2 linked regions of the Sus scrofa genome follow. Each later gene encodes a partner of the first gene's protein in a complex. Links are inferred from orthologs where the notes say so. Each region holds a gene or a part of one and is shown in the gene's direction. Other genes may lie near its edges.

Region 1 (3,642 bases):
TCCTGTTGCAGAACTGTAGAGACATACATGACTGTGTGAGTATTTTGAAGGTGTTAATAGAATTATTGCACTTGGTCTTCATGATAGAGCTTGGCTGTATTTTCCTCTGCTCTCAATGTCTGAACTGTCTAGACTCTGGAATGTCGTAGGAGCCAGGAATGAACCCACAGCCTTCTTTGCTCTCGATGCCTAATAGACTTCCCAGGAATCTATATCTGGTGGTTCTCGCCCCCCGACCCTGTGGGATCCATCCCGCTGGCTTGACGGGAGTGATGCTCTACCCCAGTGTTGGCGCCTCCTGGGCTAGAGGAGGCTGTGGTTAGTCTGATTGGGCTTGCAGGTGGTTTTTTTTTTTTTTTTTTTTTTTTTTTGGTCTTTTTGCCTTTTCTAGGGCCGCTCCTGTGGCATATGGAGGTTCCCAGGCTAGGGGTCGAATTGGAACTGTAGCCACCAGCCTACATCAGAGCCACAGCAACTCGGAATCCCAGCCGAGTCTGCAGCCTACACCACAGCTCACGGCAACGCCAGATCCTTAACCTGAGCAAGGCCAGGGATTGAGCCCGAAACATCATGGTTCCTAGTAGGCTTCGTTAACCACTGAACCATGACGGGAACTCCTCGCAGGTGGTTCTGAAGCAGTCTTCCCTTTCCAGTTACTCCTCTAATCCTTTTCATGGACTTAAGTGGTGTCAGTAATAGGTCCGTGCTCCAGAACTCAGGATGCCTTGAGACACTCCCAGGGAGCTTCAACTCTCAAAGTCCAGACTATTCTTGTCGCAGACTCGTGGGGGCGGGGTGGCGGTGCAGGGTTTGATGTCTGTGTGGACTCATTCATTGTGGTTATTGGCCTCTTGAAGAGGGTGCATACCGAATGCAACTTTGAATGTGAAATTATCTATAGAATAATATATATATTTTATAAATAATATAAATAATTTATAGAATGTGTGCTACTCACTCATACATTGTTAGAAAAGTGTTTTCTTCACATTTTAAAATGTTCAATTCTTTTCTAGAAGGCAATGGGCTTTGGAAGATTTTGAAATTGGCCGCCCGCTGGGTAAAGGAAAGTTTGGTAATGTTTATTTAGCAAGAGAAAAACAAAGCAAGTTTATCCTGGCTCTTAAAGTATTGTTTAAAACTCAGCTGGAGAAGGCAGGAGTTGAGCATCAGCTGAGAAGAGAAGTAGAAATACAGTCCCACCTTAGGTAAGTCTTGAGGTCGATGTCAGAAGAGGGATGGATGGAACTTGGTTATTTAACGAGCTCACTGTAATAACCTCCTTTGGAGAAGGCTGCCTTCCTAGCACTGCAGAGAGTGATTAAATTTGACACTCTTCAGAGGTTGATTTAGACTTAAGTGCTGTGGTCCTGGAACATTGCTTGAAGGTTTGTTTTGTTATTGGAGTAATTTACTGGACATGTTTTTTGGGGGTTTTTTTGATTTGGTGGATAATTAAAGGGAATGACACCTCTTTTTTTTTTTTTTTTTTTTTTTTTTTTTGAGTTCAGGTTTCAAACTGGCAGCCTGCAGGTTGACTTAAGCCAGTGGGTCTTTTCTTCTTTTTCGCTTTCAGTGAATTTTTTGGTAATGTCTCATATAGGCTGTGCTCAGCTGCCCAGAGTCCTTAGCAGCACACCTGCTTTTGTCAGACATGGCTTCTGTGTTGTCTGTCTCATTGTGTCCAGGGTATCAAACTACTGTGGGGATGCCATGTCTACCTTTTGTTTGTTTTGTTCTTTTTTTCCAAATTTGCAGAGACTTAATATTTACCTAGTTTTTTTCCCCCTAAGAGCAAAGATGGCCTAAAGGAAGGAAATAGTCTTAGCCAAACAAGGTCCATTGATACCGTGTGAAATGCGTGTGAACTGATAGGCGAGGTACACCTGTTTCTTACGGTGCGTCTCATCCGTAGTTTCAGACTCTCCAGGTGGGAGGGGAGGGTGTTTGTGGCCAAGAAGCAGTTGTCATGACTGGGTTCACAGGAGGGGTTTGTTTGCTATTCAGTACTTATTCTTGTATCAGCTCCCAAACCCGGTGTTAGAGAGTTCGTCCTTCTTGCAGGCATCCAAATATTCTCAGACTGTATGGTTATTTCCATGACGCTACCAGAGTTTACCTAATCCTGGAATACGCACCTCTCGGAGCTGTCTATAGAGAACTTCAGAAACTGTCAAAGTTTGATGAGCAGAGAACTGCTACTGTAAGTTTGCTTTTGTTGTCCAGACTAATTCTGTTGCGCTTCTGTCCCGCGTAGCCGTGTACCTTTCATTATAATAGAGGGGGTTTTGTCAAATGGAAAGGTAGCTTAATAGGATCAAGTATTTGAAATGGAAAAATCAAAAACAACATAGATGTGCCTTTATTTACAGATAAAATCAGTTACCAAGTGGAATATTTGGTTAGTTTCCACAGCTGTGTCTGTGGAAATGTATATAATTAGTTGCCCTCTTTAAAAAAAAAAAAGAAAAAAATTATTTTAGATTAATTTTAGATGTATAGAGTAATTAGAGATACTGCAGACTTTCTCCTATTAACACACACCTAATTTCTCCTATTAACATTTTACGTTAGCGTGATCCGGTTGCCATAACTAATGAACCTGTATTGGTGCATAGCTGTTAACTGGAATCCACACTTCTTTCAGATTTCCTTCATTCTTCTCATGGTTAGATCAGGGTCATGGGTTTTGAGAGGAAGGTCCGAGGGAAAAGGCCTTCTCCTCTGTCAAGAGTTACACTGTTAACCTGACCTAGCCCTGAGTGTTGGCCTCATCCCTGGCGGAGGGAGGGAGGGAGTGGCAACGCTCTCCACTGTGAAGTTACTCTTTTTTCCTCCCTGTCGTGCTGTGTCCTTTCAAAGGAACAGCCCTTGAGTGGTCATGTTCCATGTCCTATAAAGCAGAGCATGGTCATAATTATTGGGAATTTTGTACCAGAGATGTATCTGTTTTCCATTATTTACTCCATCATTTATTGCTATGGACTCATTTTATACTCTGTGTAATCTAATACACTTTGCTCTCGTTGTTTCAGCTTTGGCCACTGGGAGCTCTTTGACATGGTTCCCGTGTCCTTTTGACATGTCCCTGTCAGTGTGTGTGTGTTTAAAAGCACTTTCTTGTTTTCTGGTGCCGTAAGGTGTTCCAGCTCCATCTTATACGTTTCCTATCCCAGTCTTGTGATCGGTTATTTCTCCAGGGAGCTTTGGTTCCCTTTACTGGAAAAGGTAATGTTAGAAACCAAAATCTGGGCACTAGATGTGCTCGTGCTATTGCGTGTTAAAACGTCTCAGCTTTCAGCTGACAGAGAGCCAGGAAATAAGTGCGTATGGTAATCCATGTATCTGAAACTATTTCTGTATCCATCGGTATCTTGCTAAGCAACACATGAGTCCATTGTCACACGGATCCTGTGTCCTCCCCCCTCGTTTATCTGTAACCTTCCACTGTGACATTGAAAGAACTTGGATTCACGATCCGCTGTCCATTTATTCATTCAATTCCAGTGGACGTGTATATGGTGTATATGCTACTAGAATTGGTAACCAGTTACCCTGTGGAAAACCAGTTACCATATAACCACATATGTTACCATATAACATTTGAGATTCATTTGTAACTTTTCATAGCTCATTTCTTTC
Region 2 (4,212 bases), on another chromosome or scaffold:
TTCTGTCCCCCTCCATCCTGGGATGGTGGTGACCCCACACACACACAGGCTGTTGGGAAGGTGCAGATGGAGGCTCCATAAAGCTGCAGAGATCCTTAGTTCCCAGGGCACAACCCCCAGGAGAACCCAAACTCTGAGCCATGCCTTTCTCCCGGAAACCGGTGAACGGGCACCCCTGCCCCGCAGGGAAGCTAGGTGGAGCGACCAGCTCCCCACCCTGGCCCTGCCTCTATCCTGGCATGGGCTGTCTTTTGCCCGCCTTCCCCACGGGGCAGGCAGCCCCCAGGCACAGGCCCACCTCGTCAGACCAGCCCAGCCCTTCCCAGCCACTTTCCACTGGCCCAGGCTGTATCTCCCTGATGCCAGCTGGAAACCCCTCCCATGTCCACCATGGCAGCTCCAGACAGGGCTGGCCACCGCCACCCGCCCTCCCCCACTTACGTGTGAGCCCAAGTTCTCCAGAGATTCCGCGCTTAGGACCCCACTCTCCAACCAGTCAGCCTCCCAGAGGCCAGTTAGCACCTGGCTCACCTGCCCAGCACAGCCCCTGGCAACACCTGAGCTTCCTGGCCGCACACACGCCTCTCCCCGCCCCGCACCTGAGACGCTCTCAACTGCAGTCGCCCTCCCTGCCTGCCCTTCCTGCACCCCTCTTCCAAGGACTGGGGCCGGCCACCTCTGTTGGCATCATGCCCCTTTCCTGGGAGCTGCCCCTAGGTGACAGCTCCCCACCTGCCCCAGTGACCAGAGCATCCTCTCCCCCAGGGTTCTGCTGCCCGCAAGAGGCAGCTGCGACCAGCACCCTCCTCCTCGCACGGGGCGCTTAGCCCACGGCCTCGGCTCTGCGGCCCGCGCGCGCTCCCCCGTCTCTTCCCCCCTGGGGTCCGGGAGATGGGCCTCCAGCGCCCCCCCCCCGCCCCCAGCTCCGCCGCGCGCCCCGCGAGCTCACCGAGCGGCAGCAGCGAGTGGCACAGCAGCGTGGCGGCCGTGCGGCGCAGGTGGTAGGGCACGAAGGCGGCGTCCTCGCTGCCCAGCCAGCCCGACAGCAGGTTCTGCACCGTGAGCCCGGCCGAGTGGAACTCGGTGGGGGTGAACACGAAGCATACGGCGAACACCAGGTAGGCCAGCGTGAAGGTGACCTCGGGGCTGTCCATCGCGCCGCCGTAGCCGCCGGGAAGCCGTCCGGGCGAGGCCCCCCGCCCCGGGGCGCAAAACAGGCCTCAGCGTCCGCGTCCGGTAGGCGCCGGGGCCGCGCGGGGCGCCCTGGGACGTGTAGTCCCCACCCTCAGGCCGCTCGCGGGGCGCTCTGGGAAATGAAGTTCCAGGACCCCGCTCGCGGCCAGACGTCCTGAGCCGCCGCGGCAGTCCTCGCGAGGGTTTGGAGCCTCCCCACGACCCGCCCTGAGGGCGGCGCTGAACTTGGCTCCATTCCACAGCTGGGAATACAGACTCGGGCGAGCAGCTCTCAGGCCCTGGGCCTTTCCGCGCAGCCCAGGCGCGTCTGCGCAGAGCCCGAGATTCCTGGGCGACGGCGGGCCCCGCACTCACCGCCCGCTCTCGAGCCGCGTTTCACCTTCGTCTGCTGGACGAGCCTGGGCTACCGAGAATTCCAGGGGCCGCCCTGCCTAGCGTGCCGCCTCGCCCGGAAGCGGAAGCCGCCTCTTGGGCGCAGCCTCCCATTGGCCTTCGACGCCCTGTGTCCCGCCCCGGCCACGCGCTGATTGGCCGTACGCGCCAACCGTCGATATTTGAATCGGCGGCGGGCAGCCGGGCTCCCGGACACGGCGCCTCCCGCTCCTTCGGTTCCGCGCAGCGGCCGGCAGGTAAGACGGCGACCGGGTCCGGGCTCGGGGCTCCGTTCCTGCCTCTTCTGGCCTGTCCTCGGGCCTTAGCCTGTCGCAGTGGCGGCCTGGACACGGATCTCTGACTCCTCCCGCGGCGCCGCGGTGCCCACAGTCGGCTCTCCTCGCCCCCCCCACCTCGGGGCGCCCCCTTCCCCGGGGTCCCATCTCGCCCGCACTCATCCAGCCGGCCCGGCCGCAGCTGGCAGCGGAGCCGGTGGGCTCTCGGCCCTGCCTCCCGAGGACGCCTAGTGGCCCCTATATCGCCCTCCACGAGGACCCTCCGGCCGGTCGCACCGGTCTTCCCTCTCCCCGGTGACCTCGCCCAGCCCCCGGCCCCCTGTGGCGGTGACCCGCACTGGCACTCCGCCCCTGACCAGCCTCCGCCTTGCTGCCCGGCCCCTCCTCCCGGCGCAGCCCCACCTGTGAGTCATCACCGACCCCGCGGCACCTGCAGCAGAAACCTGGGCTCCAGCGCTGATTCTCAAGAGCCTGCCGGCAGGCCCTCGACGCCAGTCCTCCTCCGCGCTGGCCTCGCCCCTTCTGCTCAGGAGCCGCCTCCCTGGCCCCCCGTCATTAGTAGGAGCCAAACCCGTAGAGGCTGCCATTGTCGCACCCCCACCTTCCCCAGGTGAAGGGATCCCACAGAAAGGGTGCTCTAAGTCTCCCTCCTGTGGCCCAGGGCCCTCCGGCCCCTCCCCGTTTCACCCCGTCCCCCAGGCCAAACCCAGTAGTCCCCCTTGACTTAGGCTTCCCTTTCCCACCTCCCCACGCCGCGTGTGGGCCTGCTGGCCAAGCCAGGGCTGACCGCTCCCCCCTGGCCACAGACAAGAGCCTCTGGCTCCCTGCTTCCCTCCTCCCGCTCCCTGCTCCACACGCAGCACCCAACCCCACACCCTCCAGGCGGCTCATCCCCCTGACCTCACCTCGTTCCAGGGCACCCGTGTTCCTTAGGCCCCAGCCGTTTTGCTCTTGCAGCTGAGGTCCCCGGGGCCCCCACCCCCAGCAGGTACCTGTGCTGCCCAGTTTTCTGGTGACTCCTAAGTTGGGAATGCCGGGTAGGTGACCATGATGAATTTGGGAAGGAGGAGTAGGACTATTCTAGAACCTCGTGGACCCGACCGGAGGCCCCTGGTGTGTTTCTAGTCTCCAGACCCTGGTGTAGAAGCACCTCAACTCCCCACAGGTGATCCTGCACGTGCCGCTTGTTACCATCCCTGCTCCTCCTCTGAGCCTTGGCCCTCCTGGCGCCCCCGTCGGTGGGCAGAGAGCCAGCTGCCCTGCCCTTCTGCTTTTCTGCCCTCCTCCATCTCGGCTGCCTGCTCCAGCCCCAGTGCCAAGGCCTCTGCCAGTTTTGTCACAGATCAGCCCTTATCTGTCTCCCAACTTTTACCCACAAAGTTCCAGTTATTTCGAGGACCTGTTCTTCCTTCTTGCCCTGTGGGCTGAGAGCCCTCCTAGCTCTTTCTCCCGGGAGGGGCAGCTCCCCCCAGAACGGGATAAGGACACGCTCTGGCAGAGGACATGCTGCCTGCGGTGTCTCACACACACACACACACGCCCGTGCAGGAAGGGGACGTCCACCCTGCGGCACCGTGGGGTCAGCTCGCTTGTCTTCACATATGTGCGTCTAGACAACAGGGTGTCCCCGCCCTCCTCTTGACTCACAACTCTCTGCTTTCCCAGAATGAGTCTGCACGTCTTCAGTGATGAAAATGTCACTGGTGACAGAAGTACAGAAAATTGCGACTTCCTGTTTTCACCACTGGAACTTACCGGAAGATCATCTGTCCTCCGGCTGTCCCAGAAAGAAAATGTGCCGCCCAAGAGCACAGCCAAAGCCACGAAGGTGAGCCCCGCAGATCTCCTGGGGGTCACACGTGCAGTCCCGGGGCCTGCTTTCCCGGGGCCTTAGCCAGCTGGCCGGGCGGGGCCCGGTGGCTTCTAGTGTGGTGGGGGAAGGTGTGAGTTATTGGACGAGTGCCTTCCTGTCTCCCCGACAGGTGACTTTTCAGACACCTCTGCGGGATCCACAGACTCACCGGATCTTAAGTCCCAGCATGGGCAGCAAGCTGGACGCTTCTTCAGCTCTAGGGGACACCGTTGGACTAGAAAGCTCTCATCAAGGCCGGGCCCGGAAAGAGAGGTAAGTGTTGGCGCTGTTTGGCAACCCGCAATCGGTAACCTCTCCGGCGGACTCCGCAGGAAAACGTCCGAGCTGGTTCCTCCTGGTCTCTGCTCCAAGTTTGTGTGGGAGTTGGAAGTCGTTTCTTCCTGGAAAGCGAATTGCGAAACGGGGGAAGTTTAAACCTCACACTCCACTCCTCTGTTGTGCCCTTGCCGACAACTTGGCCTTGGTTTTTGTTTGTCT

What was found.
Region 2: the proteins of AURKA (region 1) and TACC3 are in contact, whole or in part, in a crystal structure (PDB 5ODT), measured with the Homo sapiens proteins. The link is inferred for Sus scrofa from reciprocal best matches to the Homo sapiens genes AURKA and TACC3. Residues at the interface, in NP_001310232.1 of Homo sapiens: Leu130, Phe133, Glu134, Ile135, Gly136, Arg137, Tyr148, Leu149, Ala150, Arg151, Ile158, Val163, Arg205, Tyr207; in NP_001428248.1 of Homo sapiens: Glu523, Ser524, Phe525, Arg526, Pro528, Val531, Leu532, Gly533.

Annotation. Positions count from the first base shown.
Region 1 is NC_010459.5:56,958,860-56,962,501, reverse strand, and holds part of AURKA (aurora kinase A), read left to right. Parts: intron 1-1,016; coding exon 1,017-1,208; intron 1,209-2,064; coding exon 2,065-2,203; intron 2,204-3,642. UniProt on the Homo sapiens protein: Mitotic serine/threonine kinase that contributes to the regulation of cell cycle progression.
Region 2 is NC_010450.4:824,029-828,240, forward strand, and holds the start of TACC3 (transforming acidic coiled-coil-containing protein 3), read left to right. Parts: upstream 1-1,404; 5' UTR 1,405-1,823; exon of another isoform or gene 1,824-2,205; intron 2,206-2,777; exon of another isoform or gene 2,778-3,027; intron 3,028-3,527; 5' UTR 3,528-3,528; coding exon 3,529-3,690; intron 3,691-3,844; coding exon 3,845-3,987; intron 3,988-4,212. Other genes in the region: TMEM129 (E3 ubiquitin-protein ligase TM129), read right to left, coding at 950-1,154. UniProt on the Homo sapiens protein: Plays a role in the microtubule-dependent coupling of the nucleus and the centrosome. Involved in the processes that regulate centrosome-mediated interkinetic nuclear migration (INM) of neural progenitors.